Tribolium castaneum: one gene and its partner. The protein of the gene in region 1 interacts with the protein of each later gene in a pairwise test. Links are inferred from orthologs where the notes say so. Each region holds a gene or a part of one and is shown on either strand. Other genes may lie near its edges.

The links.
Region 2: the proteins of rau (region 1) and Mob4 interact in a two-hybrid assay, tested with the Drosophila melanogaster proteins (2 studies listed by BioGRID). The link is inferred for Tribolium castaneum from reciprocal best matches to the Drosophila melanogaster genes rau and Mob4.

The regions. Positions count from the first base shown.
Region 1 is NC_087398.1:1,940,523-1,946,205, forward strand, and holds the start of rau (uncharacterized protein rau), read right to left. Parts: upstream 3,830-5,683; 5' UTR 3,652-3,829; intron 1-3,651.
Region 2 is NC_087395.1:22,126,471-22,131,251, reverse strand, and holds Mob4 (MOB kinase activator-like 4), read right to left. Parts: upstream 2,377-4,781; 5' UTR 2,277-2,376; coding exon 2,217-2,276; intron 2,142-2,216; coding exon 1,533-2,141; 3' UTR 1,209-1,532; downstream 1-1,208. Other genes in the region: Epac (rap guanine nucleotide exchange factor 4), read left to right, coding at 294-355.

The sequences.
Region 1 (5,683 bases):
ATCAAATTTTAGTTAACGCAATAAATATTTCCAATTATTGTTATCTATCGCACAAATCGTGTTAATTATTATCAGTAGCTAAATGTTACCTTCACTTTCCCATATTCATTATCAGATCCATATAGGTATAAAGTTACGTAAAACAATTTTCATAAATATGAAAAATTGTGCTCGTAGTACGGTCTTTATTTTTTTAAATAAGCACATAACTTTTGATTTAATTTGATGTCGTTTCGCGTCCTCAACCAATTACAAATAATTCGTACAAGGTATATGACTTGAAATAACATACAATCATGTCGCTCAAGAGGCAAACGATTTTAATTGACAGTCATAAATAAAAAACTAATTTTGCAAAATTGCTAGCTGTGCCTGCTCCAGCTAGAGAAAGGTGCTAATTAAGGTTTCGGCGACCGATAGTTAACTCTTTTTCATTGATCGGTTAAACGTTTGCTTAATTGATCATACGTTTGAAACAAAGACATTGTCATTTGCGAAGATCGCGGTCAGCGTACTTTTTCTCTGGTTCAGTACCGTCGACCGTTTCGCTTCGTGGCTTCTTTTGATATCTGAGACAGTCAGTGTTTCTTGTATCCCGCATTCCGACGTCACGAAAATCATAATTTCGTTCAAATCCATCAATCGTGGGTTAATTGGGTTAGCTCCGAGTTTCCTCGAACGGTCGTAGGAGCATTATTTCAACGAAAGGAATGCGAATGGTAGCAGTGTCCTCACCTTGCCCCCAGCGAAGGAAGTGAGTGCGGAGTTCGAACCCGCCGAGCAACTTTATACGGATATTATTAGGCAGAAAACTGTTATAATTGCGGCTAGGAATTCGAGAGAATCCTCGCATAGGGCGGCTCGTGCGCGCATTTAAATCTCCGAGTCCGCTCAAGTGTGAAGCGACTTCCTTCAGTCCTGTTTTTGTGTCCAGATAAGTCCTGTTTTTTCCACGGCTCTACATTCCGTCACAGTGGCTGGGCTTTTCCGGTTTCACCCCCGATACGAACCCTCGTGGGAGAATATCAGTTCCGTTCACATTTCCTCTTCCACTCCGGAAATGTATTGAAACTGTTATTATATTGCCCGCGGCTAGTTCGTGGAAATCCTCGATCCTAATTACGACTTTTAAAACCACACAGTGGTTGGCAATTTGTCATGTTTACTCAACTTGTCAAAAAGTGGATTAATCGACTGAATCACCGGGGTTTTTATACCTCTCGGTTCGATTCTCAAAGATATGCTAATTTTCTCAATGCACTTAAGGTTGGCGGCATTTTTCCCTGAACTGTTTTCGCGCAAATTTCGAGAAACCGAGGTGAGACATTCCAGAAATGTTAATCACGGTAATTAGCATTGAGCTGGGGAGAAACTTTCTTCTGATGTGAATCAACAGGTATCTTAATCAGTGATTAATAAGTTCTTGGGAGATATAATTGTGTTGCTTCTCGTTTTGTGATAACAGCTTCCTCGAAAGTATTACACAATGAAGAGGGACAAAAATAGAATCATTATCCATAACGTCATACAAAAACCGGACCGATCATCGAAGTACAAAGCTATCGATGATGTGCTCGCTTTTTGTAAATTTTTGATTTCGCGCTTAGATGAACAAATAAATTTTATATGAGTCGCAATTGCAATTATTTTCGGAATGGGGAAAAAGCAACTGATAACGGGAAGGAAACACGTAATTCTACGTCTGGCCCGATTTTTGAAAGCCGGAAGATTCAGTTTAATTGTTCCTCCAAATGCTCAATGGTGCGTGCCGCTCTCATTGCATATTAATTTACCCGAAATTATCGGAAATCGTAATTCACAGTCACCCATATCAGACCCCACCTACAAAGGCATTGAAAAGAACAACAATAACTCAAATAAATAATGTATGAAATCAACAGTAAATATAAAACTTGAACCAAGACCTTGCCAGTTATGCAAGTTCCTTTAACCGGAGTTGGCGATTTTCGAAAAATTATTTCGCGAGAAGTTTGCAGGTTTGGCATTGAGATAAACGCAACAGTAATTAAACAACAATAGAATAAGCAGTAAAAGTTTAATTAAAAAGTGAACCTTGAACGCCAGTCCTAAATATTTCAATCAGGATCTCCAACAAGACAAGATTTAATCTACAGAAAATATTTAAAAAACAGGATTTGTAATTAGCAGCGTTTTTAATTAATACCAATCTGACAAAATTTACCGAAATGTGAAAAAAATTAAAGCTCGCCTGTTTCGTTCGTCTTCAGAAATAATTAACAGAAATGACAGGCACTAAGCGTGAAAAATCATAATTTATGCAAGCACCATAATAAATTGTAATTAGATGTTTTGGTAAATTCCCCTCTTATGCAAATTACACGTTGAAATTAACATTATACATCAGCGATCTCATTTATTGCCAAAATTTTGTCGTTGGACAATAAACCACACTTGTAAGAACTTTGGTCAGCCTGGAGAGATCAGACATGTTCACCTATCAGAGTAAATATTGACTTGGTGGATTCCTACAAATTGAACACTGTTTGTGTAAGCTTCTTATCAGTTAATAAATGTTTGTACCGAGACAAAGTTATTCCTTTTTTGTGGCCACTAAACCACTTCGTCCTTTGAAGCTCTGGCAAAAATGTTTAATTCATGCGATACTATTACAGAAAATGAGCGTACTTTGTCCATTTAGAGAAATTATACCTTATTTGTATTTGTCCCTCCATTTAAGTTTCCCTCAGCCCCCAATTATGATGCAGATAATGATCAAGACGTTAACACCTTAATGAGCTCGCATGTCGTCCCGATACAGTTTCAAATAATTATAAACAGGACGAGTTTTTGTAACACTCCGTAAAGGAAATTTCATCGTAACCGATTTTATGGCTTGGAAATACCTCAGCATTTATAAATCAATTATGAGCGTTGACCAAATGTCAAGAATTCGTTCTCGGTACGCGATTTGTCATTATTGCAAATTAGCGAAAAGCCGAGCGAAAGTTGCAGTCATTTTCCAGTCGATGATGCAAACGTTAGATCACTGCTTTGTGAAATGAAACCTGGACGGCATGTGGAAGAGAAGTGACATTTGGGCGGATCCACGTCCATGTAAACGTCCGGTCTTCACCACAAAAGATTAGGCTGGTCCAGATTTATTTCTTTACACTTGTTTGTAGGAAATTGAGTAACAGGATCTGATACAATTTTTGGTTTTGTTCCAACCTTGATCGTGATTGTTGTTGGTGGTGGCACAATTTGAATAGGATGAAACTGATGACTCATGAACATTTACAATGCAAAATTCTTTACGTTATCTCGTAGTCTACAAGGTTTTATGCTGCTAATAACCGAGAATTAATCTAAACGAAAGTGATTCATTACGTTACAACTGGAGGAAAATTGATTTCATTTGTGTGTAAAGCAGCCTTTTTGCACGCTGGTGTGAAGACCACCAACGATCAAAAATTGTTGTTTATTAAGCAAACAGTCCCGGATCCGAAAAATGTCAATAAGTTTGAATGGACAAGTGGTAATAAACATTTAAAGCACGGAGGAATAATAAAAGGCTATTTTATCACCACGACATATCTGGCATTGTTGTTGCACTCAAAATATTTGCATGCGCATCAACTGAGCTTTAAAGCTCCAAAAATAATTCCCCACCTTGGTAATCCCTTCAGTCAATGGTAATCCCAAAAATCAGCAACTGGGAAAAGTTCACGAAAACACGCACTCAGAAACGTGTGCAGCACATGGAGCTGCGCCGAAGTGTTCCAACACCACGTCCTTCCAACACCAACGTTAAAACGCGACTGATAGCTGCGAGCTTTAACCCACGGTTGAGTCGCGTTACTCTGCCTCGGCTTGTCCCAAAGACACCATAAAATGCATTTCTATCAGATTATGGATGATAGTGGGATGCAGGCAGGTTCATTGTAGTGTTATTGTTTGGAGGCTTTTCGTATTCTCACACTTTCCTTCAGGGTGGGTGTTGGGAGAGAAATTCCGTTGTTTCTTGCTGGACTTGAGACGGGGCAAGGTATACGAGATTTTTTAAGCTGATATGCAAGCGGAACAAATTTCGTTACTGTGTAAAGGTAAATAAACTATTTTCATAACAATGGATGGCATGCTCAAGGTACACAAATTGGCTACTTATCGGTTCCTCCTCCAGAAGCTGAGGAATTCGATACCACATTTTTTTAATTTGTTCCTTTTTGACAACATAAATAATTAATTAGATTATTATTTACACATCTTTATTCTCGGTCAATTTGCACAAGTTTCATACAACTATTATGTTTCTTACGCATAATGAGTTTAGAGGACTAATTATTTTACGCAAAATTTATGAAATATCCGTTTCATTGAAATTCGCAAATCCTTCAACGCTTCAACATTACTGAAGAAAAATGTTCCACTTGTAATACGCTATGGCATACTTTGTAAATATTGTAAATAAATTAATAATTAATAACGTGTTATTTTTTTATTATTATTTTGATCACATCCACAGAGCTTTGGGTTAAAGCTTTATAAAAGATGCAAATGGAGTGCTTCTTTAATACACATCCATAAACATGAAAAACTTTCCATTTTCAGCGACCAAACACATGTTAACTGGCTGGTGCAACTGTAAACGATTAAATAACTATTAATTCATCACGTCTTGACACTGCATCGTTTTATTAACTGACTGACTAAAAAACGGACAAAATGTGGCCAACTGACTCGCTTTATAATAATTTTTATTAGGAACATGCCTTATTCGACTCATAAATGGTGCTAAAAACCCAGTTACCATCAACCGCAAGTTCTGTGTCAATTTTCGTAACAATAAAATGGTGAAAATCGATTTTTTCTTCCCACAGAATTAATCCAAACAAACTATAATTCCCCATTCAATAAAACGGATAGAAAGTCAGAAAATGAAGTGAGAAATGGACCGATACGTAATGAATACATTGTCTCATTTGAGAATGATCAAAAGTTATGTGAAATTATAAGAAGGAAGTGAATAGGTTGATTTATTGAAATTACAACGTGAGTAAGTTGGTAAATTGCTCACACATCCCGTCGTATTAACTTACTTCTGTTTCCGACTGACATCCTCATGCGTACGGTTTCAAAACAGACAAATTGAAGGCAAAATTAATTTGAAAAGATAAGTCTGATAAGCGAGCCTTGAGTGCCATGCATAATTCAGGAAGCGGATACAGTTAAGGTAAGGTTGCATTGTTCCATAAAATGCGGAATATCGCTGCTAAGGACTCATTTGCCATCACCAGAGGGTTGGAATTATGTAAAGTAAGCGCACACAAAGGAAACGTTCACACATAATTATGTAAATAAAACTGTCGCTAATATTTACGAAAGTTATATTTGTGTTGAAAATCATTTCACACATGCAGGTTCCCACACGATGCAAAATAAGTGCAACAAGTAACCCGGCGTTATTTAATTGATCAGGAAAATTAAAATCGGATTGTTTCCGCCCATCGCATAATTGCGAGAAAGCCTTTCGAAAGAAGTAACCGGAGCATGTGTCGGCAATATGTCTTTGCGTCACACTAAGCAAAAAAACTGCTGCTGTACCTAATTTTTTTCCAGCAATATGAGCCCCTTCATGACGTATTATCAGTCGTAAGAAACCGCAAAACTAATTTGCCCGAAAGACCCCGATGATGGGTTGGAC
Region 2 (4,781 bases), on another chromosome or scaffold:
TATGAGTGAAAATTAATTAATTAATTGTAGATGAAACGTAATTCTCTCAAATCTTTTGAAGAAAATCCAGATATTTGACGAAGCATCTCTTAAATATTGAAGAAAAACATTCACAGCAAGCTCGAGACTAAGTATAATGTACGAATTTGGTTTTGTTTTTTTTCATTACTAATTTTTTCAATTTTTTGTTTCAGGTGGCTGGAGTGACTGAAAGTGCGTGTTGTGGATTTTTGAGTGTTTAACAGACATTTAGTAGTGCGCGATTTTTTAAATTTCGAGTGATTAAAGTGCCAATGGAGGGGATCTTCAGGGAACCTGGACGCTATAATCGTGCTACAAGGATCAGGATTAAAGGGTTAGTTGTCAAAGTTTTTTTTATAAAAAAAAATTAAGTATAAATCTGTAACGTTATACATAAATTCATTTATCAAAAATTTTTATACTGATCTTGTATTTTTTTATTTTCAGTAGGTCCGTTCTAAGAAGAAGAGGGAACGACGAGGAGGCCAGGGTGAGTGAATTTTAATTTTTTTCTAAGTGCGGTGAAGTGTGTGAAGTGAAAATGTGAGTGCAACATTTTAGAACACAGTAAGTATTTATAAGTATCAAAATATGAGTGAAAATTTATTATTTAATTGTAGTTGAAACGCAATTCTCTCAAATCTTTTGAAGAAAAATTTCCAGATATTTGACGATGCATCTCTTAAATATTGAAGAAAAACATTCACAGCAAGCTCGAGACTAAGTATAATGTACGAATTTGGTTTTGTTTTTTTTTTTCATTACTAATTTTTTCAATTTTTTGTTTCAGATGACTCGAGTGACTGAAAGTGCGTGTTGTGGATTTTCGAGTGTTTAACAGACATTTAGTTGTGCGCGATTTTTTAAATTTCGAGTGATTAAAGGGCCAGTGGAAGGGATCTTCAGGGAACCTGGACGCTATAATCGTGCTACAAGGATCAGGATTAAAGAGTTAGTTGTTTATGTTTTATTAAACCTTGTTTTATTATTTGGTTCAGTTAATGAATTGTTTCGAGTGTTTAATGAACATGCAATGCGCGTTTTTTAATTTTTCAAGTGATTAGATTGGCTTATAGAATGGATGTTTGGGAAGAACAGAATTAAAACTTCCTATAACAATGAATTGTTTAAGGACCGGATCACTAAACATTAGTCATATGACTTAATTGGGAATTCGAAGCGGCATATTTCTACTATAGATATTTATTTGTCATATTTTCTATCCCTAGACAGCTTCTAAATGAAAATAAATATATTACACGACTTATTATATCAATTTAACAATTAATTTCCCATCAATGTACACTTAATGGTGAGTTGCTCAAAAAAGCATATCGGGCACAACGCCACAAATAAAATATAGGTGAAAAAATAAAGTTTGAGATGTCTTATAATACAGTTGATGCTTGAAATGAATGTAGAACGAATCGGAAAAAGCCCATCTGTTCAGTATGAACAAGTCATAAATACCAACGGCGGTATGTCGGAAAAACAGCCAGTTTAGTCAAAATTTACGCCTCGGATTCGCCTGGTGTATTTTCATCTTCGAGAATCGGAACAATGAGATTATCTTTCGACATGAGATTATACTTGGTGACGAACTGCGTGAATCGCTTGCACAGAAACGTCTCGTTTTCGAACTCGTCGAAGATCGACCTGTGGTGGAAATACGCGTGCGAGAAAATCCTGTAGACCCTGCGGCACACGGAGCCTAGCTTGGCCACCGACGACTCCTTAATACTGACTCTGCTGGGGAAATACTTGTTGCTGTTGAGGAGGCAGGCGGCCCCGTCGAGCGTGTGCCTGGTGTAGTCGATGGCAGGGCACTCCTTGGGCGTCTTGTGGGCGGCGCAGAGGAAGATCCACTGCTCGGTGGCCGTCATCTGCGTGCAGGTCTCCGGGTGGCATTCGCCCTGCAGGCGCACGGCGAGCCCGTTCAGCTCCATGCAAAACTGGCGCAGATGCTCGTACTTCCACACACCCTCGTCCTGGTTCTCGGGCATCTTGAGGATGAGGTCGATGTTGGCAGGATTGTTTCTGATGAGCTGCTGGATGTACTGCTGGACGGCGAGGGTGCTGTCCATCTCCTCGAAGGGCTCGTCGGGCCATCGGCAGAAGTCCTGCAGGTGATCGATAGGTTAAGGGTGAGGTTGGCGAGTATTGATTGGGGCTAAAGGGGCGAGAGTGGAATTTACCTTGGCTTTGGTGCCGGGGCGGTTTCGACGCAAAATCACAGAACCATCAGCCATCTTCATCTTTGACCACCAAGCACCATCGAAGCACCAACCTCTTTAGAGAGAGAAAAATAGCGCTGTTTTTGTCCGATGAGTAGTTGCTTCTTGCAACAATAGAGGCGCCAGCGGTTTCACCGCGGGGAAATTAAATACGCCGTAAGGAATTGATTGGGCTTTGAAACATTGGGTCAGAAGAAATCAATTCGTGGGTCTCTTTTCATAAAAATAGTACTTTACTTAAGAAAATTCCAAAGGCCGCAGAAAAAAAAACGAGTTTATTTTTCATTATTGTGATACAATATTGTGATAAGACGACTTCTTAGTTTTACAGCCGCCGGGGTGCAAATTCTGAATACCGCCCTTGATATTTTTTTTTACAAAAATTGCAACTTTGTATTTTTAGTTTTTTATATTCGTTCTGCATTCATTGCAGAAAGTTTTAGCGTCTTCCATCATTTTAGTACCTACAGATATTTTTAATAACTTCTGGGAGAATCAGAAGATTTTTGTTTAATTAAAAAAATAATTTTTAATAGAATTTTGTATCAGATATCAGCAACATTTTTTGTATCAGTTTCCAAATCTGAATTAGAATAAATAAAAAATAACGTATTACTTTCCAAATTGAAACAAAGATTTTTTGCAGCATCATTTCCCTGTAATCATTAAACAGGAATTTCCAAGTTAATGTTAAAGGTTTTTTTTATCGCAGTGTTGAGCAGAATAAATACGTATTCGCTGTTTCAAAACTATAAAAACGCCAACGACGTATTTTCTCTCAAAATTAGCTGTTATAAATTATTTATGCACTTGAGAAAACAATAGCTAATGTAATTTACACGTATTTATATTATTATAAATTATTATTATTATAAGTTATTATAAAAAAATCAGTTCTGAGGACTTAAACACGTTTTTAGACTAAAAATCAAGGTTTTCTTTCTGTTTTTATTAAACTAAAACGAAAAAATCATCAAATGTTGTCGAAAATGACCAAAAATTCACATTTTCTAAGTGTTTATTCAGCAAAAACGCAATTAATGCGCAAAATTTCTTTAAAAGTAAGCCAATAAATTACAGAATTATGTCAAAAGTGACATAGTTTTTGCTAGTTTTGTAGATTTAAACACGTTTTTAGACTACATATCAAATTTTTCTTTCTGTTTGTATTAAAAATTGGTTAAATTGATAAATCAGTATTAAGTTAGATGTTGAAAGTATCACAAGCTGATTTATTTGGGGTGAATTTTCCGAAGCTAGCTTTATTTCCAACCAGTGAGTTTAAGGTCATTTGGAAAAATGGCGAAAATAATTAGATTACCCTGTTGAGTGGCTGTAGTCGTTCAACGATTAAATACTGCGAACATTTTTTACTGGTTTTCTGGCTTATTATGGATAATCTATTTAAAATTCAAGGTAAAAACATTTTTTTCTTTTGTCTAATTTAGGAGCGATTTTTTATAAATATGATTTCACAAAGTAGTTGAGCTGTATCTGTTCCATTTTGCAAACAAATCTAGTGCAGTTTTTATACTTAGGTACATTAGGTAATAAATGATGCAAAAGTTTTCAATGAAGATTTGGAAAATATCTGCCTTTTTCTTTTCCTCGTGTAATTACTTTGGTTCGAGAAAATTGATTACACACGTTATAAACAAAGCCTCCGAAAATGAGAAGATCGAAACATTGCTCCCCTTAAAGCCTGATATTGATGAAACCTGAACCTCCAGTGTCAGATACATGAAATATGGTTTCGTATTTTTAGCAAAATGTATGCTCAGATTTTCGTCTTTTAGATAAAAAATTTATAAGCACTTTTAAAATTGAGTCATCTTGTTTCTGAATGAAATCGATATGTTTGCATAAAACATCTCGCTTTTCGATTATTTCCCACCGCGAAAAAATTCATTTTTGTCATTTAGGAAAATTAAAAAGTAAATGGTTTGCAGGAAAAAGGGTGGGTTTTCCATTTCATAAAATGAGCACACAATTTCATCGGTTGCACTTTTTCCGAAATAATAATCTTTTAGGAAAAAATAATCCAGTTTGCGATTTTTGTTCACTTCGAGCAATTTTGAACCATTTTATACTTCAGTTATACTAGTTAATAATTATGTAGTTTTGAGTTAATTGGAAGCGTAGAAAAATTTTTATAGGACGGTTTTTATATAATTCTGTTGATAATAGCGGCGCCTCTTCAGTCTTTTCTAACCAAATGCAATATTTTTTAAATCCCCTCAAAAACCCGCTAATAGCCAAACAAATAAATGGATCAATATTAAAGCTTTTAAAATCGTAATTATATTCATTAAAACTATTTAATTAAAAGCATTTGAAAACCGCTGCATTTTTTTGGTATGTGCTTACTAATCATTTTAAAAGCTTGTAAAAAGCCCAGATGCATTTTTTCCTCAAACCCACACAAGCTTTTTGTTACACTTGTGTCCTGAAACTTGATTAATCCGGGTCGCATTAAACTTGCCCAAACTTGACAAAAGCTTTCTTAAAAAGCTTCCGTGTTATTTC